3 linked regions of the Elephas maximus indicus genome follow. The protein of the gene in region 2 interacts with the protein of the main gene of each other region in a biochemical or structural test. Links are inferred from orthologs where the notes say so. Each region holds a gene or a part of one and is shown on either strand. Other genes may lie near its edges. The genes, in order: ANGPT4, TEK and ANGPT1.

Region 1 (7,858 bases), on a different chromosome or scaffold from region 2:
CAGAGCCCACAGAGAGAGAAAGCCTTCCCCTAGAGCTGGCACCCTGAATTTGTACTTCTAGCCTCCTAAACCATGAAGAAACAAATTTCTGTTTGTTAAAGCCAACCAATCGTGGTATTTCTGTGATAGCAGCACTAGATAGCAGCACTAGATAACTAAGACATCAAGTAAGATGAAGACTAAGTCATGGCCATTGGATTTGGGAAGTGGGAGGTGATGTTGGGGAAAGGAGTAAATGAAAAGTGAGGAAGTGGAGGCAGAAAATGAGGGGTGTGGGCTGGAAAAAAGGGTTGTGTTTCTCCCTCCTCCTCTTCTTCCTCCTCTTTTTTTGCCTCTTCTTTCTTTTTTTAAGATTGGAAAGACTTGAGTGCAATGGAACGTTGAGGGGAAGGGCCAGTAGAGAGGGAGAAGTTGTTGGAGACACAGGAGTGGAGGGTTGGTATGAGGAGGCTGAGGGGCTGGGACCCAAAGCCTAGGAGGGAGAGTGGACCCGACTCATGGAGAAAAACCTTCCCTCAGAGCCTGAAGGAAGGCCTGGGGACTGGTGGGTGCATGGGCAAATCTGCAGGTGTAGGGCAGGCAGTTGAGGGACTTCTCTCCTCTTAGCCTCAATTTCTCATTGAAGAAGGATGACCATAGTCTGGTGAGAGAATGGGGTGGGTGGGGAGGTGAAGATGGAAGCTTGAAGGTGGGGGATAACTCTTGAAATGGCCACATGGGACTCAGAAACAGCTGCCTGAAGAGACACACACAGATTTCAGGGCAGCATGGAGTCCCTGCTAGGTTGGACTCCAGTATATGTGGTCAGGACTCCCTTGAGGGGGCACAGGATGGGATGGCGACAGGGCAGAAATGTTGCAGGGCGGGTGGGTGGAGGGGCAAGTGGTCAAGGGATTATGGGAAGATGGTGAGCAAAGGACTGAGGGGGTGGTTGGGAAGAATAAAGACAGGAGGTTAGGGGTGTGTGTGTGCGCCTGCGAGTGTGTGTGTGCATGCGTGTGTGTATGACGAAGGTGGGTTAGATACACAGAGTATAACCTCTCCACCTTGGGAACGGATAAACCCAGACCATGCACAAAACAATTCTTTGGAAAACAGGAGGAAACTACCAGAACTTCAACTGATGTGATTTCATATATCATCTTTTTAAAGTTCCATTTTTGCTAGAGTTGTGCCCTGTACATATTGTATTAACACTGGGTGTGTGGGTATAAATACTAAAAAAGTATGCATGCATCAGGGAGGCAAACATTTCTTACTGATTAGGAACATGGTTTAAAGAATTTGGAAACGATGGGAGTAAGAAGATACTGCTTGCCTAAGAAACACCCTGGGGACTCCTCCTGGACACCCTCGCCTGCAGCCTGTCAGTCGCTGCCTGCTGTTTTACAACTTCTAAAACACTGTGAATCAGCTGCTGCTCTCCACCTCGCTGCTACCACCCAGACAGTTCCCTGCATCTGCGGCCCTGGTCCCACTGTCTGGCCCTGGTCACCTCTGACTTAGGGGGTCAGCCCACCATGGGCGCTGCAGGACGCCTTCTCTGCCCCCATGATCACCCCGGGGCAGGTCTGCCTCATCCACCTCTGCACCCTAGTGTCTTGTCCCAGGCCTGGCACACAGTAGGTGCTCTGAGTGTTTGCTGAAAGGACAAACGAATGAAAGAATGAGGGCAGGAGATCCTATAGTGGTCCTGGTCTTAGGCCCAGACCGTGGGATGTCCTCAACTCCTTGCTCTCTCCCACCCCATCCAATGAATCAGCAGACCCTATGAGCGCCTCCTCCAGAAGAAACCAGAATCTGACCCACCACACCTCCACCCTCAGCGCCTCCCTGCTCCAGGCCTCCTGGTGTTTGCAGGGGTCTCCTCTTTGCGCTCCCTGCCCTTATAGCCTCTTCTCCTGTTCAGACCAAACCAGGAGTGTGGCTCCCTGTGCAAAACCCTGCAAGGGCTCCCGTGACACGCAGGGCAAAACCCACAGTCTTTGCAGTGCCACAAGACCCCCCCACCCCACTCAGACCTCATCCCCAGCCCCTTTCTCCATCTCTTGCTTTGCTCCCTCTGCCCCAGCCACACTGGCAGCCCACCTGGTACCAGGCACCTACTGCACTCCCACCTTGCAGCTTCTGCCTTTGCTTGTCTCTTTACCAGGAATGCTCTCCCCCAAGAAGCTTGCTTCTCCACTTCACTTGTTGTCTCGGTTCAAACACCACCTCCTCTGAGAAGTCCTCTCAAATTATCTGACCTCAAATCGCCACCCCTCGGTCACTCCCTGTCTTCCTCCTTTCCTTCATTTTGTTTCACCCTCTGACATAGTAAATATTTATTGTTCATCTCTTTATCGACGTCTCCCCCCCAGAATGTACATCCAGTTGTATCCCCAGCAGCTAGGATGGGCCTGGCACATGTTTCTGACAGACGGATAAATGAATGGCCGTTAGACACTGCCTTGTCTTGCTGTGTGTTCTCTGAACCATTCCTGGACCTCTCTGGGGCTCCATATCCCACTCTGTACAATTCAGGGATGAGGGTCCCATCGATTTGGCCATCTGCATCCAGAGGAGACCTTCGAGGTGGACACTCCTCCTGCCGATCATGACAGACCTGAAGCTGTCCTCCCCCCTGCAGGCCCAGCCCTTACCTTCTGCAGCCACTGGGTGTTATTCTCCAGTAACTTCTCCAGCTGCCGCACCCGTTGACTCCGCCACTGCCCCAGGTGCCGTTCGGCAGCCGGTAAATCCCTCTGGAGGCTGTTGGAGCCCCTTAAGGGCTCGTGCTCCGGAGTGCATGGCTTGGGCTCGGGCAGCACGAAGGTGTAGCTGCACTGGCCGTGCTGGACCTGGTGTGTCTGGCGACACCCACCTGCTTCCTGGCCCGTCTGCTGGGCCAAAGTCGTGGTGGCCACCATGAGGAGGAGGCTGCCCGGTAGCATGGCTGGCCAGGAGGGCATCCAGAGAGGTGATGATGGGGAGGGGATGCGGTCAGGGCCCTCAGGGGCCGTGCCTGCTCACCACCCAGCCCGGTGCCCAGGGTGCAACCGCCGTGGCTGAGGCTGCCAGTGGACAAGCCTGCCTGCAGAGCTGCTGCAGCTGCAAACCCCTGTTTGGCTGAGCCCCGTTCCAGCGGCTATTTATACATGCTCCAAATACCACAGCTGCTCAGCTTCCTCTCACCGCCTCCTGCCCGCCCCCCTCCCATCCCTCATTCCTATTCTTTCCCCCTCTCCCTTCCTTCCTCCGAACTCTTGCCTGCACGCTGCCCTGTCCACGCGCTGGCCTCGCTCTGCCCGCCTTGACTCTGGTCCTTTATTGTCTTGTGGGGGCCTGGCCTCCCTGCAAGAGGGGAGGTATTGTAGAGGGAAAAACATCACAAAGTTTAGTAAAGCAAAAAGAAAGTTTTATTCAGCATATATTCAGGAAGACAAAAGTTGAGAAGCAGACAAGCATGCTGCCAGAGCTAATGTCTGCCCAAGTCCAAGGAAATATTACAGAGTAAGCAAGAACAGGAAAATGGACAAGCAGGTTTCACAGCCATGTCTGCCCGAGCCCAAGGAACATTACAGAATAAACAAGAATGGGAAAACGGACAAGCATGCTGCCAGATATGTCTCCAAATGCAGAGAATATTACAGAATAAATAAGAATGGGAAAAAGGACAAGCATGGTGCCACAGCCATGTCTATCCGAGTCCAGAGAATATTACAGAATAAACAAGAATGAGAAAACGGACAAGCATGCTGCCACAGACATGTCTCCAAATGCAGAGAATATTACAGAATAAATAAGAATGGGAAAAAGGACAAGCATGATGCCATAGCCATGTCTATCCGAGTCCAGAGAATATTACAGAATAAACAAGAATGAGAAAACGGACAAGCATGCTGCCACAGACATGTCTCCAAATGCAGAGAATATTACAGAATAAATAAGAATGGGAAAAAGGACAAGCATGGTGCCACGGCCATGTCTATCCGAGTCCAGAGAATATTACAGAATAAACAAGAATGAGAAAAGGGCCAAGCATGCTGCCACAGACATGTCTCCAAATGCAGAGAATATTACAGAATAAATAAGAACGGGAAAAAGGCCAAGCATGCTGCCACAGACATGCCTGTTCAAGTCAAGAGAATATTACAGAATAAACAAGAATGGGAAAAAGGACAAGCTTGCTGCTACAGCCATGTCTATCTGAGTCCAAGGAAGGTTACAGAGTCATCAGTATACATTAACATTACAAATGGGCAAAACCGTTGAGAGCGTCACCTTTTCACAGATTGGTTAGAAACTGTCATCCTACATTTTGAATTTTCTTTCTTAACAGTCATTGGTACAGGCTTCAGTAACAAGTCAGGAGGGTCTTCATTGGTCCAATAAGTTTCTATTCACTAGATGTTAATAGTTAGAAAAAGATAAGAGTGGAAAGTCTTTGTGTTCTGGCTTATGTGAAAGGTTCCCTAGAAGATATTTTCCAAGATTATTCTATCTATTGTCTTTATCTCAGGGCCCACTTGATGTGTCCTCGTGAGTCCTGGTGAGCTCTTGTGAGCCCAGCTCCAGCTGGGTCACATTCTCTACGCTCAAGGACAGGGAATAATGATTCCAGTATTATTTCCTAAATCTTTCCCTCCTTTTGATTGGAGATTGGAAATAACACATCCATGATTAGTCGAGCTCCTAGATGGCAACCGCGGCAGGTTCTTTAAACTCACAGTGCTGGTTTTCCACTGGATACCATCCGGTTCTTCACCAGGATCTTAGGAGTGATGTTCTCATCAGTTGCATTGTCAAAGTGTGTAAACTCAATGTACATCAACATTTTAGCCCAAGGCCTTCTTTAGCCTTTTAGGTGTGTAAGACAATAGAAGATAAGTTTTATTATGCCTAATACTATCAGGATGTAGACTAAGAAAATTACTTGTAGTAGTGCAAATAAATCTGGTGTTCGTAAGGGTGTTACAGTATATAACCAAGTAGCTTGCTATCCAATTCTATTTGTATATCCTGTTCTTCTCCTGTGTTATTTATCTAAATGCAACAAGTGGTATTTGCTACAGCACATTACGCTTTCTTGGACGAATAAATAAAAATCTAAGGCTATTTTGTTATCTCATGTCACCTTGGATTAATGAGGTCAGAGATCACTGTTGTGTTTCCAACCCGCTAGCAACTTTGTTATTTGTCGCATAGTGACTGATAAATTTCTGAAAGATTTCTCCAATTCAAATATACCTTAAGTAGGAATTAAATTTACCAACCATACCCTGAGTGTTGGATCAATGGGCTTTCTTCTGATTCTCATTTTACAAAGGATAACAAATTAACATTACCTTTCTAGCATTTACTATGAATATCTAAAGATAATCCTAAAGTTCTCAAAGTGCATTGCCCACGCATTCGCCAGGAATCTAAACAAGAGATTGCCCACGTAAATTCACTATTAGTTAGAAAGGAATCATCTAAATTTATATAGTTGGATTCACCACACAAGAACATATATCTATAAAGGGCACTCGAAGTTTGTCTAGAGAAAACAGAAGGTACAGAAAAATTTGCTTGTGACAGATAAGTTTCTATTAAAGAATACATGATTAGCAAGATAATACAGGATGGACTTCTCCTGTTGAAGGTCTCCAGTTAATGTGCCTAAAACATACTAAGTGTTCTTCCTGAGGGCAAGCTGCCTTTCCTTGGTTTGTCTATTAAGAGTCATGAGTCACTTTCTCAAAAGCAAAGTGCAATCTGAGCCATGAGGTCGATCTCTTCTGAAAACTTGGTTTCAAGTTACATAATTTTCTCTATAGCAAGAGGATGAGAGTTTGATTACAAACATTAGACAGATACAACATTGTCTTGAGGACTGATTAAAACGATTACTGATTTACCTTAAACATAACTCTATTTACTGATCTTTGGAGTGTTTCCCAAAACAGACTGAATTCTTAAAAAAAAAAAAAAAAAGCACAATGCCCAGAGCAAAAGGGTCTTGGCTAGCTTATCTGGACAATTGTTTGACTTAAAGTGGCTTCAGAAATCAGTTTTTTTCTTAAAGCTCAAGGTTCAAAAGGACACCCAAAGGCGATAAATAAAACTATGTATATTCCCCAACTTCCACGAAAGCCAGAAATCTGGATTGCAGGAGAATTACGTACAACTCTCTCATGGTTCCTTCCTTTAGATCATGATCTTGCTATAGAATCTTGGATCAAAAATGTTCAATAAATGGTAATTGGGCTCTATCTGGTTTTTAAGATCCCATATAGCAAATCAGGAGGTAGAATAGAAACACTAACACTAGGCCAATTATCTGAAATAATCAATGAAACCATGACCCTAAGGTCTTGGAACCAAGGAAACAAATCTCACGGGGTGTTTGTTCACACATAAGCAGCATCAATCACTGTTTTTCATGTGCCTCTGTATTAACCACGTTCTGCAAAGCCTATGATTGTGTTAATATAAATACAGCAACATTTATCTACTAAGGCACAAACTCTTCCTTGAGAGATCCAATAGGAAATCTAATGCTATTCTAATTTGTAAAATCATAGCTCAAATTCCAGACACTTCTCTGGCTATGATATTTACCACTTTGCTAACTTTGACAACAAGAACTTTTAATTCAAGAGTTAAAATCACTAAACCCACTAGTTAGATAATTTAGGAGAAAAGAGGAAAATGGTTTCTTATATCCAGAAAGTAGGACCTTACAGCATTTCTGATTTCCAGAAAGAAAGGCCTTAAAATACCAGCAATATTCTCACATAAACCCGTAGGATCATTCCGTTTTCTCAGTCTTATGTAGTTAATTTCTGTTCCATGTGATTTTGGATCGGCTGCAGTCTGCAAAACCATCAGTTTCTGCTTGGAGTTCTGGAAATCTCGATTGAGTTTAGTCACAGTCTTTTTTGCAAGTTCAGTATAGTCCATCTTTTTTGTTGAGATATTCTGGTCAAATGTTTTCAGAAAATCAGCAAAGTAAACATTTATCTGCAGATGGCAAAACTTAATATGGCCATGATTAATTTATAAACATAACTCTTAAGAGTGAAAGACCTAATAGAAATTAATTACAAGCATAATGTAAAGGCCAAATAAAATCGGTTAAGAGAAACTTTAGATAAAAATATTTCTAAATATAACCATTAACCATATTTTTAAAGAACTTCATAATAATCTTGAGACATAATACCATATAGTCAGGATATACTAAGAATATACCAAAATTATCAAGTCTCTAAATACCTAGATAGTAATAAAAAATAACTTTATAGGTAAATGATTTGAATTCTCCAGTCAAACTATTGGCTTTGATGATGCTAGATTCCAAAAATAAAGTTTGAATTAAGTTAGCAATTAAGAAATAATAAAATTATGACATAATATTATGTGTTTGTTGTCTAATATTAGGCAAAAACACAAGAGGAAATACTAACATATAAATTTTAACCCAAAGGAAAAGACTCAGCACTGCTCTTGATTTTAACAACACGTTCTGTGTAATTTACAACATGTTAAATAAACCTTTTTAGCACTTTTCCCTTATTAAAATTTTGTGGGTTTCCATGAAGTTTCAAACTTGTCAGGAGTTTATCATAAGTTACTGTGAAACAATACTTAAGTCATTTAACCAAAGATCTCAAAATAAAAACCTTAGCTTTTTTTTTTTTTTTTCCTAAAGCCATGCAGCTTGGTTTCTGACTCAGGAATCTTATTCTGATGAGAGACTGGACCTTTGTTTTAGAGGCAGATCACACTGATAAATTAATTATTTAACTCAGAAAGCAAAGAAAATTTAATTTTAACAGCGAGAAACCTAATTCTTTGTTTTATATGCTATAAAAGCGCCTAAAAATCTCAT
Region 2 (7,324 bases):
TTTGTGAAGAGAGCAAAACTCCTACCTTCTGAGAAAAATTTCAAGGGGTGCCTCCCATCCCAGCTTCCATACCTCTACCCTTTATTAGTCTGACTTGATACTAGCCTTCCAAGGCCAGGCCTAATGGGGAGATTCCAGCTGGGTCCACTTTCCTGACCTTATAACCACATTTTCTCTGCCACCCCAGACAAAATATCCACTGTTACTCAATCCAGGTTGTCATTTTAAATGCCAGATGAGACAGGCAAGAGGTAAGTAGGCATACAATTATAACCTTCCCACTGGATCGATGTTGATCATATAGGATATACTATGTAAAGCAGAAAGAATGGTTTGTTTTTCTGCATATACAACTCTTTAGAGAGAGCAGCCTGGTTTGGTGAGGATGGGGGAGTAGGGAAAAGGAGAATGTTTATTAGAACTTGTTTGTAAGTTGGAATTGACAATGATTCTCAGTTGGGAAGGGAATGTACCAAAGTCCAAGAAGACTTGGGGGGAGGCTTTTTGAAAATTACACACCTCCTCCAACTGTCTTATGGATCAGCATTTCTTCTACCCAAAGCCACCTTTATTGAGACAAATGGTTTTTTTTTCCCCCATTCTGTTGGTTCAGAAAAAAAGCTATGAGAAACAAACCACTATAGAGAAATAAATCCATACGCTATTAGTTCCTTGCTCCATTATTGTAGTCTACCAGTGGAATTTGGCTTGAAGAACAGACTCATCTGGCTATAGACATGATCAAACTGAATTCTTATTGTAATCACCAACGCTTGGGCATTCATGTTCATGGTGGCTTAGACCGGGAGTATAGGATTCAACACAACAGACCCATCGCAAAAGTTAACCTCATTAGTGTCACACTTCCCTTCTAACAAGAGCATCACCTCTCCTCCGGCCTTGGGCATCTTCCTGCTGAAGTCAGTGCTGTGTTTTCAGGGAACTGAGGTCTAGACACTGGGGCAACTGTTTTGGCAACATAACTTTTTATTTTGTGACTATATTGCAAAGTGCCATAACATAGTTACTTTTGAAAAAAAGTAAATTAAAACAGTAGTGAGTGTGTGTGTGTGTGTGCGCGTGTGTGTGTGTGTGCATTCTTTAATCTAAAACATATCTCAGAGCAACTGTGGTCCCTGGGGCTTTGCATAACTGTAATCCTTGGTGTGGAATCAGTTCCAGGCTTCGTGTCACTGACAAATGTGGCACCAGAACAAAAGCAACCCAAAAAAGGAACAATGATAATTATTTAGTTTAAAGGTATATATTAATACAGAAATTAACATTATTTCCACATTAATATAAACCATTACCACATAAATATTGAAATCATCTGGGATCATTTCTCATTTTCAGGATTCCTATTTTACATGCTTGGATTTTTAAAAAGGTATTAAATCCTCAATATAATTTGTCGTTGAAAGCAAACTGACAGCTGTAAAACAAATTACATGCAGCTCTGTTCTCTTAGTAGATTAATTTTGTGAATATTTAATAAAATATTTCAAACATATATCAAAAAATAATATAGCAGATGCCTGTGTATCTTTGCATCAAATTCTATTCATGTAATATAGCCTGCACCATTAAATTCAGTAAATTGTCAAAATTCATTTCTAATACCAATCAATTTTCATTACAATGGTTAGAATGTTTTCGAACCAAAGGGGACAGATTGATGGTGATTGCAACGTATTTGTGATTCGCACTTCAGTCTTGTCACACTGGGCAAGTGAAACTACAGAGGTATGCCAATATCTAGATAATCTGAGCAATGTACACAATAAATCCAAAAACATTCAGGCCAATGATTCCTGAATTTCACAACAGTTTTGAAAACTCTCCTGTGCCCAAAGACCTGTGCTACTGCCTAGACATTCACTTCATTGGGCCAATATAGACAGACTTTATGAATACTATCTACCAAATCAGAATGGACTTGACGGCAATGGGTTTTGTTTTCTTTTCTTTTTTTTAATATATATATATACCAAATATTTTTTTAAATAAAATAAAAATCACTGAACCCCAATCTACTGGACTCCATCTATAAAAATTACAAAAAGCCTAGAATTTGCTCGCTGTGATTAAAATACCACACAGATATAAAACCTTTAGAGAGAAGCATTGATAATCTGTACATTGCCTTAAGTGGTCTTGCTTAATTTTAATATACACTTTATTTTTAAAAAAATTACTGAAGATTTTCTTTGAAGCTGGTAAATCTAGATTTCTTCTTCTTCTTCTTTTTTAGATAAGAAAACCCTCCAGGACAAGGAGCAGGAAAATAATGCCATAGTAAGCGAGTCTCTTCAAATAAGGTGACTGAATTGGTCTTCCCAGTCTGTGGCAATTCAGGGGACAATCAGCCAGAGGGAAAACCAGTTCATGCCCTAGGAACCTGGCATTTCAATCCTTACATATATGAAATGGAGAATCAGAGAGAAATGGTATCTATACCACAGCCACCCCTCATTAACCAGTACTAAGAGTTGGTAAGAGCCCAAAAGTCAGTAACTCTGTTTAAAAAAATAAATAAATAAAGCCAGTCCTTACCAGAAAGGAGCAAGCTGACTCCATAGAGAACTAAGCCAGCTAAAGAGTCCATGCTTCCCCAGATCTCTCCATCCAGTTTCCACAGCTATGCATGAGGTCCCAAGGAGCCTTTCAAAAACCCAGAGATTTGTGACTTTCCATTCGCATGTTCTACCAGGTCTTGTTTACAAGTTAAAGGCAAGAAGGAACAGCACATAAGCAGGCTGTGACAGTCTCATTTCTGTCTGAGCACGGGGAGTTTTAAGTTCCTTTTTCCTGTTTCCTTTGTAGATTAGGATGGGAAAGGCTGTATCTTAAAGGCATGTGGTATCAGCAGGGCTGGGGGCACTGCAAGCCCTATCCATCTTGCAGTACATCAAAACACTTATCTGTGGCCATTGCTTCTGCTGCTGTTTTCTGCTGCTGCTTTTGCTGTCGCTGTAGGGATAGAGGAATTTTTGCTGGAAGTGTGGGTCCTGGTCAGCACTTTCAGAAACAATAGGAGTATCCTCTCATAGGTGGGAAACTGAGAATAACAAGCCCTCCACCTATGTATGGTATGCAGTGATGATCATCAGCCTTTCTCAGACCTCTAACGCTCTCCTGGGTCCACTTGGAAATCCGGACAGAGGGGCTTTTGGGTGTGGGGGGTAGTTTTTGCTTTTGTTTTCTCATTTCAACCTACATGGTTTGAACTGGAAAAAGAAGTTTTCCATGACGAGAGAACGCAACCCAAGAGGCAATTAATTTAGATAATCACCGGCGCAGTTAATGTTCAATGTAGCCATATAGAGTCCAAAATTGTCAGCTGGTTTCTTTCACACAGATGGATTATTTGTTGGCCAAGAGCCCAAAGGTACCCATGCTACTGGCTATAGCCTTAATTTTTATTAATAAATTCATTTAAAGGTCATCTAATTTTTTTTTCTTTTTTAATTTAGCATAGAAGGATTTCAGTAATGAAAAGAGCTTTATGCTTTTTGGCCAAAGGTATTTCAGAAGTAAATTATATACAAAATCTTAAAAATCATCTGAGCGAAAAACCAAACATAAAAGACGAGATTGGGATAAAAATACTTATAACAGCAGAGAGAATACATGGGCCAAAACAAAAATAGCCAACTGGAGTAACTACCTAAAATGAGATCAGAGACCCAAAACTTATCCTGACTGTAATTTCTCTGCAACATGAATTATGACTTTAGAAAAGAGGGGAGATACTATTAGATATCCTGCCTTAATATCTGAGGAAGGAATTGTTTGCTACGCCTTTTCCTACTCTTCACAGGAAAGGGTAGATGCTGCGTGGTCTTACTTAATTTCTGTCCCAGGTTTTACCACATCAGCAGTGATCTTGAGAACCAGTTGATGTTTCCAATCTGCTGGGGTAGAAAGCCCAGGCTCTGCCTTCAAGCAGATCCAGTTTAAATACTGGTTTAGTCGTCTGCGTGACCTGAGACAAGTTACTTAATCTCTTTGAGCCTCAGTTTTGAAAGCTGTAAAATGGAAATAATATCTCCCGTCATGGAGCGTTTGTGAGGATTGAGGTTAAAAAAAATATGTAAAAATATCTGGCTCCCCGCCTAGTTCATAGATAGCTTTTATTAAATGTTAGTATGTTAATTCCCGTCCATTTTTCCATTCTGTCTCCAATTTAGGTTCCACGAGCTTCAGCCAGGATGCCAATCTCTATTCTTATGAGATTAATTTTGGCATAGAAAAAAAACGGTCTGGGAGTCAGGACTCTGGGTTGTAGTTCTATCTGTTATTATCTGCCTGGGAGGCCCTGGACAAGTAATTTCTCATCTCTAAGCCTCAGTTTTCTCCAACTGTAAAATTAAGAATTTAGATTGGATGTGACTAATTTCCCTTGCAGTTCTAACATCTCATGTCTAAATGACTAAATAAATTGTCCTACTCTCAATATCCCCAAGTTGCTTTTTGTGAGCTGTATATTTCCTAGGTCCTTCCATCTGGAAGGTTCAAAGAAGATGCTGGCTTTGTATCTCTGTATCCATGAAAGTCTGGGAGGATCACAAACGTGCTCTATTTTAAGACCATGGTGGCTGAAGTTTTGTGAGATCCACTGGCCCCAAGCCATACAGGGGGGGCAATGGTAGGCCTTGGAAGTAAACAAACTCCAGGGTGCCAGCCTCTCCAGGCTGGTTCTCATTACCTATGCAAGCTTCCTTTCTTTGTGCTTGGTGGCCACACAAGGAAGTTGTCTTTGCTCACACCCCCTCCTGTTGGTTAGTTCTCGTGCACCAAAGGTGCTACCTTGCTTCCTTTTCTGGACTGGTATCTAGAAAAGCTGCTTAGTTTCATCCCTTCCCCCATTATCCAGAAAGATGACTTACTCCTATCTATCTTTACCCAGAAATGTCACTCAGGTCCTTCTTCCTTCCGTTATATAGAATGGGTGACACCATTTCATTCTTCTCTCTGTAATTGAGAAAAGTTGTTTGATTTAATTCATTTCTCCACTAACCAGAAGAACTACTTAGTTTAATTTCTTCTTCCAGGACCCAGAAAGAGCACTGTATTTGCTAATTCTCAATGTTATATAGTACAGTGACTCGGTTTAATAAACGCTGCTGGGCTCTCTGAACCTGTGATTACACAGCTAGTCAAAGAGTTGAGCAATTTTTTCTTTGGGATGTCTGGATCTTCAGCATGAGATCTAAATTCCAGGTGTAAAGTGAAGACAACTTGTGGACAAAAGTACCCAGACACTTTCTGCTCCAGCTTTCTGATACATGCATCTTAGAACATGGAAAACCAATCAAGGAAGAATATGAGTTTCACTGCACACTGGGATCAAAATGTCTGCAGAGCTGATTGGCAACAGGTTGGGAAGCTGCCAGACTGGATGGCATGCCAGGACTTACAAGGGAAGGGAGAGGCCACTTCCATGTCTGGACAGGACTTGTCCCCAATACATAACGAACTAAGGAAATACCATGTACTGGGACATGGCCAAAACCCTCTTCTAGAAAGCTGGCTGTAGCCATCAATAGGACATGTCCTTTGCCTGAAGAGCTTTGTTGGGGACTAGCTGAATCACCTGTCTACCCTTGGTTGTTCCATCACCTGGAAAATTTGAAATACAATTCCCTCATCCTTGCCTGCCTGACTCCTATGCGTTCTCTAGGTTTCAGCCTCAGAAAGGTCTTCCTTGACCACCAATCCAAGTTAGGTCTCCCTGTTATTATCTCACAACACCCTTTCCTTTTCTTTCATGGCACTAATCACCATTGGCAATCATATATTTGTATCTTTATCTTTTTAATGTCTCTCCTACTGGGCTGCTATCTCCAAAACGCAAGGACTATAACTTGTTCACCATTGAATTCCCAGGTCTTACATAAATACCTGTTGAACTATATGCACGTGTCATAGAAAGGGCTTTGGAGTCAAGCAGACCAAGATTTCATCTGTTGTTATCTGTAATCTACTGTGTGGTCTGGGCAATTTATTTCATGTCTTTCAACCTCAGTTTTCTCATTTTTAAATGGGGAAAAATAATACCTTATTACTGAGAAAATATATACACAGCATCTGACACAAGATGTGTATTGGCTACCTGCTTTCTATGGTTCCCTTCCCATCCCCAATCACCGCCACCACTAGACTGTTATACAGAACTATTTGCAGTGAGGAAACAAAGTCTCCCCCAGGTTAAGTCACTTGCTCTGCTATAGGTAGCAGAGGTAGTATTAGAATATTTGTCTCTTGGCCTCCAATTTTTGCAATTTCTAACATATGACACTTTTTTTTCATAGTTCACCTTTAGACCACAATGTGCAGAAAAGTAGGTAAAAAGAAATATAGGAAACATCACTAACACCATATACACAGACCTTAGGAAAGTATTTGAAATGAAATTTCCACAGGTAATGGCAAAGTTTGGTGACCTTAAGAAATCCAGTTGGTTCTTAATGTGCCCCCAAAATAGTAAGAGCTAATACCAGGATCTGAGGATGCTCCACTCCCTCTCTCCAGGGTGGTGAAAGAGAGCTCCCTCATGAGTCAAGCTTATTTAGCTCAATTTGATTTTTCCAGATACACTTACAACTGAACAAATACGAAAACCAAACCAACAAAACAAGCTAACAAACAAGGCACTTGGCTGGTACTTCATATCCTATTTTATGCTTTTTGCACTTAGAAAATGAAAATCTATAGCCAACATTAAAAAATCTGTGAGAAAGATTAGCAAAACTAACAATGGATAATAAAACAATGTTTGTGAAGAGGCATGGAAAATAACTTACCCAATGCTACTCTAAACTGGCATCACACATCCAGAGGTCTGTTTCACAAATATGCAGCAAAAGCCTATGTGTGTATCCATCAGCCCAGAAAATCCACTGCTGATATATCCCAAGCCAAAATCAAAGATGAGCCCTCTAATTTATCCATAAGGGAGTTTATGGCAGCGTTGTTGATATTAGCCAAAACCTGGAAACAATCTAAAAGGCCAACAAAATGGATTGTCTGTATAAATCATGGTATACCATGGAATACCAGCAAATGTTAAAATGAAGTAGTTGAAGCATATTGACATAGAAAGATGTCTGTGGGGAAGGAAAACAGTTTGAACAGTATAAAATATATACATGACAAATGTACACCAGAATGTTAAAAGTGATTATTTCTGGGTTGTTGGAAAACTGATAATTTTTATTTTCTTCTGTATTGTTTTCTATAATTTCAGCATTAAAAAAAAATAATGACTGTGTACATATACGCTCATATATAAATATATATTTTAAAAAAACCAAGCCAA
Region 3 (7,854 bases), on a different chromosome or scaffold from region 2:
TCCCTGAAGGGACCAGGGCAGAGCCATAGAATATGGCATCTTGGTGTGCTGAAGCCACATTGCATTCAGTACACAAGGGAAGAGAAGGCTTTCTCGCTCCTTTTGGCATAATGTGTGATCACGTGAGTATCAGAGGAGTACTACCTTGTGTCTCATCCACTGACGGAGTTTTAGAGGAATAAACTCTATTTTATATTGTTAGGATGAACAAATCTGTCTTGGAGGATGTATAGCCAGAATGCTCCTTAGAAGCAAGGATGGTGAGACTTTGTCTTGCTTACTTTGGACATGTCATCAGGAAAGACCAATGGTTGAAAAGGACATCATGTTTGGTAATGTAGAGGGTCAACAAAAACGAGGGAAACCCTTTATGAGGTGAATTGACACAGTGGCTGCAACGATGGGCTCAAACACCCAAAGATTATGAAGACGGCACAGGACCGGGTAGTTTCACTCTGTTATACATACTGTCGCCATGGGTCGGAGCTGACTAGAAGGCAACTAACAACAAACAACAACAATTTTATTTTAGAGTCAGGGCGATGATCAAGATATGTAACAACTGATATGGCACAGGACCTACCATTCAGAATGAATTCAAGCTATAACCTAATCAATCAGATTAGATGTCGGTAAACAAATGGGACAGCTGTACTGGTGAATCCTGGTTTAAGATTAGCTCTGTTTTAGAGGATCAGAACATGAATCCATGGAGGCATGGATGGGAGGAGGAGGGAACAAATTTGAGTTATAGATACTATGCTATTTGTGTCCCTTAAATTCTAAGAAATCCCTTCTCTGTGTTTCCTAACACTGAGGTAATACAGCTCAATGGGTTACAAATGTGGACCCCAGAGAAAGACCAGTTGAAGATGAAATTCCTGTTCTGCTACATAAGAGATGATAGATCTTGCACAATTGTGTAACATATATATGTCTCAATTCTCATCTGTAGAATGCTAATAATAGCACATACTTATGGAGTTTCCATGAACATTAAATGAGGAAATTAATTTAGTAAGGGTTCAAAAATGTTATTTAGTATTATTGTACCATGTTCATGTGTCTAACTTATTACTTAGAATAAGTTTGGCTTCCTCTGGTTCTCTCATGCTCATAGATTTTGGGCAAACTTACCCAACAAATGAAACAGCTGTTGCCAATCACATATAGTAGCCAGACATCAAATCAGGAAACTGTACCAATTAAGTAATTAACTAGCTCCTTTATTTGATCATTTATTCTTTCATTCCTTAACCAAAATGCATTGTGAGTGCTGTAGACTCAAAGATGAAAGAAAGGAGATCACTTTATGAGCTCATAGCTAGAGGGGGAGACAGACCAAGAAAGAATGAGAAAGCAACATGAGAAGTTCCGTTATGGAGATATGAAGGGAAAGTTATTGAAATACAATAGAGGGTGCCACTTGCTGCCTGGAGAAATTAGAAAAGCTTCTCAAAAGAAGTAACAAAGGCTGGTTCTTAGGATAGATTTAGGGCCATCGAGTTCCCCTGTAAAGGGCATTCCTTGTCACACTGGAAATTTCTGAACGAGCCTAAATTTACTAGTAGCCTAACTTTTAGTACATATGAGTTCAGAACCTTAAACAAATACACCTCCCTATTCCAGAGCTCTAATAATGAAAACAAAATACAAAACTTTCAAAATCAAGCTACTTCAGAACTCATTTGAATAGAACGATGTAGTTCTTTAGGAATTTTTTTTTTACTTTTGTTTTCTGGAAGCGTGGCGGAGGAGTTATAAAAAAAAATGGGCATGTATGTACTACCCAAACCCATTGCCTATGAGTTGATTCTGACTCACGGTGACCATATAGGACAGAGCAGGGTTTTTTTAGAACTGTCCCATAGGGTTTCCAAGGCTGTAAGTCTTTATGAGGCAGAGTGGCTGATGGGTTCAAGCCACCAACCTTTCAGTTGGCAGCCCAGAACTGTCGAGTCAATTCTGACTCATAGCGACTCTACAGGATGGAGTAGAACCGCCCCACAGGGTTTCCAAGGAGCAGCTGGTAGATTTTGGTCTTAACCTCTGCACCACAGGTCTACTCCGTAAATTCTGTAGTCCCCTGAATTGTGCATGATTTCTGAATAACCAGCAACAACGACCAACACTGTAGCGCTTGCTTAGGTTCATTTCCCTGGGCTTTTTTTTTTTTTTTATATTGTCCTTAGAGTGCCACTGAGATTTTCAGTGCACCCAGTGTCTCCTCAGCTGGAGTTCCAGAGAAGCACGAGTGGATTCTTCCCATCCCTGTTCTTACAATTGCTTGAAACTGATCTTTAGACACCTTTTCTGAATTGACTTTAGTACTTCCAGTGTCTTGGTTTGTTTTTGTTTTTCTGAAAAAGAAATGAATCAATCTGTCTCTTTCTTCTGTCTCTCTCTACTTTTTTACTTGCATTCCAGGCTTGCTTTCTTAGTTGTCTACTTTTCCCTCAGGAAAATGTGCATTCCTCATTCTCATTTGTTCAGATTGGAAAAGTTCACAGGAACAAGCACACACAGATAAACACACACATACACACTTGCACACACACACACGGAACAGATTTTTAGCAGTCATGGCTGTTTAAAAACATAGGAGAACTTTAGTAGAGACCTCACTACTCATCCTTTTGCCTTGTACCAATTTTCTGTTATGTTTAGTTTTCTACACAGCACTTATAGGTGTTTGTTTTGGACTCTTGTTTCCATGGATAATTTTGAAGGCAAGTAACATTGGAAAACATTCTTAGATAACCTATGCTTTGCCAGTCCACCTCGTCACATGGACCCTTACAAAACCTGATTTCATGGGTTACCTCTCCCCCTTCCTCCCACCCCCCTTCCTTCCCTAGCTCTCTCTTCCTCTTTTCTTCTCTCCTTTTTTTTTTTTTTTTTTGGTACAGGGAATGGATTAGATCACTTTGGAGGGATAAATTAGTTTTAATCAGTCTTTTTTCTTACCTCGCTTTAGAACTATAAATCAATGCAGCTGGAGCCCTTTTGTAGTTGCTTTCATCCTTCACCAAAACCAAAAACCAAACCGGTTGTCATCGAGTCAATTCTGACTCATAGTGACCCTATAGGACAGAGTAGAACTACTCCATAGAGCTTCCAAGGAGCACCTGGTGGGTTTGAACTGCCGGCCTTTTGGTTAGCAGCCATAGCTCCTAACCACTACACCACCAGGGTTTCCCTCATTCTTCACAGAGGTTTTCAAAGGTGAGCTGACGTGGCATAGAAGCATAGGCTCTGTGTCAGTTTGCCTGAGTTCACATGATGACACCATCACTTTCTACCTATGTGACCGTGACCAATGAGCCTTTCAGCAGCTCAGTCTCCCTGTCAGCCAAGTGGGGTTAAACATTAATGTCTATGTCTTTGTGTTGTTGGAACAATTAAGTGAGATAGTGTGTAAGAAGTACTTAGCTCTTAATAAGCATCATTATTATTCTTCCACATGGGTGATCTACGAGCCAGCTGAGAGGCATGCAACAACACAGGAGAAGGCTGCAAAGGTGGCTTGAAAAGGTTATTGCTGCGTTTGCCATAACTTCTTCCATGTCTGTCAAATCAGCAATTTGTCATTGGTGTGGGAAGGACTGATGTATCTCAGCACTTCTTTTCTCCCCAAGTAAATCACATTTCTTCTGGAATTTGTTTTACCCTCTCCTCTTATTTCTCCCTGAACACCCATCTCTAACCTCTGCTGCCCTTCACCCCCTGCCCTGCCCCCTTCCAGAACCTGGGAGGCTACCTCTGTGGCTTCTGTTTTAACATCATGACTGCATGGCCAAGCTCCATTGCCTTAAATCCCTCCCAGTCCCTGAGGGAAGTTCCCGCTCATAACTCGTGTTTTCTGCACACACCTAGTGAAAATCTCGATGCCTATATGCCATATCGTCTGTTCTATATGTTTTACTGGTTCCTGTATTCATATATTTACACCTTGTGTTTGGGAAATTCCCTTCTGGTAATTTTTATTTCTCCCCTAATAGAAACATGTGGATTTCTCCTGTACAACCCTTTGCTGGCTCATTGGCACAACTGGTGTATCTTTGCTCTCAGATGGCTGATCCACGCAGCCACAATGAGGATTTCTGTGGAGCTTCCGCACTTTTTTTTTTTAGCCATAGCAACACCAGAGACCTTTGTAAAATATATGATTAGGATGAACCGCAGGAATTAGTAACACTCAGGCCAGTGTCTTAAATTGTAACCACATAGTTTTTCTAAGGAAGTTGCCCAATTTACACACACAGAACACCCAGGGTTGCATTCTGATCAGGGAAATGGTTTCATTTAAAAATCCATGTTCCAGGAATACTTACTTACATTATTCTATGTAATATACATAAGCTCTAATCCTTTCAGGGACAACTTGTGATTTTTGTCTTGTTTTTTTCTAATTTGACCCTCCCTGATTGTTTTAGCCACTTTCTAAAAGCCGAAATGAATACAATGAAAGAACAGCATTTCTAAAAGTGGTTTTTAATGTCTTTTCTCCAGAGTCAAGAATAAATGTTTTATAAAAAAGAATTAAAAAAAAAATTACAACTTTCTTATTCACTGTCAAAAATAATTTCATCGGACATTATACCAAGTTTCTTCTTTGGGTTCCCCAATTAAATAGAAACTTAAAAAAAAAAAAATACTGCTAGTTTGCTAGATTTTAGTAGGTCAGTACACACACCAAAAGCGTATTAAGGTGGACTGCTCTATTTATTGATTTTCCGTGAATCTGCTTAAGGCTGGAGGCAATTGTCTGCGGAAGGGGCGGGCGGGCCATACATGATTGAGGTCATGCGCATCTAGCCAATTTGTAAGACGATCCCGCCGCCCTGAGCCATCAGCAATCCTTAGCATAGGGGCACATTCAAGCATTCCTGTCAAGTCATCTTGTGAAAGGCTGCCTGCTTCCAGCTTGGCTTGGATGTGCAACCTTAATAAAACTCACTGAGGTCTGGGAGAAAATAGCAGATCTGCAGCAGATAGGGTAGAGGCAAGGGTCTAGAATATGTACATGCAGCTGACTCAGGCAGGCTCCACGCTGAACTGTTACAGAGAGGAAACAATAAATCTCAGCTACTATGCAATAAATATCTCAAGTTTTAACTAAGGAAACTACCATTGCAGTGAAATAAAAAAATAACATTTTAGAGCAAAGCTAACAAATGGCTAGTTTTTTATGATTCGTCTTCAAAAGTTTTCTTGCAGGGGGAAAAAGTCAAACAAACAAGCAGTTTTACCTGAAATAAAGAACGAGTTTAAAGGGCAGAAGAAAGGAGCGAGATTTGCGAGAGGCACGGAAGGAGAGTGCTGGCAGTACAATGACAGTTTTCCTTTCCTTTGCTTTCCTCGCTGCCATTCTGATTCACATAGGGTGCAGCAACCAGCGCCGAAATCCAGAGAACGGTGGGAGAAGATACAACCGGATTCAACATGGGCAATGCGCCTACACTTTCATTCTTCCAGAACACGACGGGAACTGTCGTGAGAGTACGACAGACCAGTACAACCCAAACGCTCTGCAGCGAGATGCTCCACACGTGGGACCCGATTTCTCTTCCCAGAAACTTCAACACCTGGAGCATGTAATGGAAAATTATACTCAGTGGCTGCAAAAAGTAAGTGATTGCTTTCCGTTTCTAATTGCACGGAGCCTTTTCCCTTCTTGCACTGCAGCTAACCAACAGTTCCTTAGGGGGGAATTTGTGTGTTTACCTTTTGCTCCAGGGGGGCAGTGTTTGCAAACGCAAGACGGCTTAGTACTTGGTTTCACTTCGCGGGCGAGCCAAGGTTTTTAGGCTTTTGCTAGCTTACGAAGGTATGCTGGAGCCCCATTAGTGCATCTGGCAATGGCATGTTTTATGACATTTCTGTTTTTCTCTTATTCCCGGTTGAGCTTGAGTAGTCTGATTGTCAAAACCCCACTTTTAAAGAGAAAGCAAGTACGTTTTGAGCAAGTTGTTGGGAAAACAATAATAATGACAGTACTGCTTTGAGATCAAATGGAATCTACACCAGCAAGTTTTCATAACAAAATACGTTTTTTAACCTCTAGTAAAATTAACATGAAGTGAGAGTAAATATAAAATACATTAAAACCTGCGAAAGCCAGAACCTGCGTAAGATGGGAACCTGTCAGACAAGGAAAACTCAATTATTTTCCACTGAAACTGGAGATGGAAAAGTGGTAAGAGTGCACCCTGTCAAAGGTAGAAAACTTGGGAGACCCAGAAAAACAAGGCAGTTCTGAGTTCTGGCTCTCGCAGTTTTCCCTGTAGAATATTTAGTGGGGGAATTGTATAAATGGAATAAGTGTGTAAAGGAACGGTTTATTTTAGTTAAGTGATACAATAGTAGAGGACTGGTTTCTGTTGTATTTTTCTTCTGTACTTGAGAAAATCAATTAGGAAGATACATTTTAATGTGAATTCATCAGGAAGGAGCTGGTCGTCGACAATGAAGAAAGAAATTGAGCCGGTGGTGGCTAGTCTCTTGGGACATGCACCTGCCGATTTGGGTTGAACACAGCATGTAGGCTCTGCTGTACCCCTGGGGTACCGCACTTCTCAGGACACTGTAGGTACAGACTCAGGGCCATTTGGGAGTCTAGTGAGTATGCATTTGATCCCAATTTATAGAAATCAAATTGAACAGCTTGTTCTGTTATTTATGTATAAACCTTTGAAAAGTTTTTTGTTGAAGGTATTACTATTAAAATATGAGTGCAGTTTCTGCAGATAATTCTCACTTTGCTCTCTGATTAATTGTGTAAGAGGTAAGCAGTGAACAATAAGTATATTCAACAGACTTTGTCACTGGCAGCGTCCCCATTCATGGAAAGCTTCCCACCACAGGGTCTGTGCCAATAGATTCCCTTGGTTCGTGTAGTAGAAATGCACCCAGACTTCTGTAAGATGGTCTGTTCACAGTGCAAACTCCTTCAGAAGATAAAAGATAGTGAAAGGACAAATGCGCTTTTTTGTTCCTGTGTGGTCACAATCACTTAGATCACCACCTGCTGATTCACACTGTGTAACAGTTATTCTAGTTTCGTCCACTAGGGACTGAACTGAGATCACTGTTATTTTATTTGACATGTTAACTGAAACTTAGTAGTTCTAGAGCTTCCAAACCTGGAATTGTAGTTAATCTTATCACTACAGACTACAGGGGAATCGATAAATATGCAGAAGAGGAAGCAAAGAGAATTCTCCAGTCTTTTAATAATTATAGCTTAAATTTCATCTACTACCTACAGTGGCTATGAGTCGGAATCGACTCGACGGCACTGGGTGGGACCTACCGTGGCAGTCTATAATAATATATGTTTTTTTCTCTGGCAAAACTTATTTCCATAGTAAACAAATGAATTTTGTTGAAAGTTTATTACTATTTGTCAATATATATATTTTTTATACCATTCATATATTCTTTAAAGAGAATTTGATCATTATAAATTAATCTGGCTTTTCTGAGGTTGGCGGGGAGGAATATCTTAGTCCCAAAGTGTCTTGAATGAGATACTCTGCCAAAAATGTAATGTTTTGCTTGCTTAAAACATACAATCAAAATGGTGATTTAAAAAACAATGCATATTTTACATTGCTATGCAATTACTCAGGCATGACAAAGTAAATAAATACATGATCCTACTGGGCTTAGATTATGCAAATATTTCACAAGTTATTAATTTTGATTCTTGTTTTTGGTCAGTGATTATGGTATGCTTTTCAGATAAGAGCCAAGAATCACTAAAATATTCTTTAGTTACATGGACATTCACTCGCTCGTGTGAATCAAGCTGACTATGTTCTGAAAATGTCCCTGTTGGTATGAGTCAGA

Evidence for each region.
Region 1: the proteins of TEK (region 2) and ANGPT4 form a complex in vitro, tested with the Homo sapiens proteins (2 studies listed by BioGRID and IntAct). The link is inferred for Elephas maximus indicus from reciprocal best matches to the Homo sapiens genes TEK and ANGPT4.
Region 3: the proteins of TEK (region 2) and ANGPT1 form a complex in vitro, tested with the Homo sapiens proteins (6 studies listed by BioGRID and IntAct, with this or other methods). The link is inferred for Elephas maximus indicus from reciprocal best matches to the Homo sapiens genes TEK and ANGPT1.

The regions. Positions count from the first base shown.
Region 1 is NC_064843.1:38,939,019-38,946,876, forward strand, and holds the start of ANGPT4 (angiopoietin-4), read right to left. Parts: upstream 3,094-7,858; 5' UTR 2,952-3,093; coding exon 2,643-2,951; intron 1-2,642. UniProt on the Homo sapiens protein: Binds to TEK/TIE2, modulating ANGPT1 signaling. Can induce tyrosine phosphorylation of TEK/TIE2. Promotes endothelial cell survival, migration and angiogenesis.
Region 2 is NC_064827.1:36,777,724-36,785,047, reverse strand, and holds the start of TEK (angiopoietin-1 receptor), read right to left. Parts: upstream 3,080-7,324; 5' UTR 2,609-3,079; coding exon 2,557-2,608; intron 1-2,556. UniProt on the Homo sapiens protein: Tyrosine-protein kinase that acts as a cell-surface receptor for ANGPT1, ANGPT2 and ANGPT4 and regulates angiogenesis, endothelial cell survival, proliferation, migration, adhesion and cell spreading, reorganization of the actin cytoskeleton, but also maintenance of vascular quiescence.
Region 3 is NC_064833.1:34,697,147-34,705,000, forward strand, and holds the start of ANGPT1 (angiopoietin-1), read left to right. Parts: upstream 1-4,841; 5' UTR 4,842-5,333; coding exon 5,334-5,630; intron 5,631-7,854. UniProt on the Homo sapiens protein: Binds and activates TEK/TIE2 receptor by inducing its dimerization and tyrosine phosphorylation.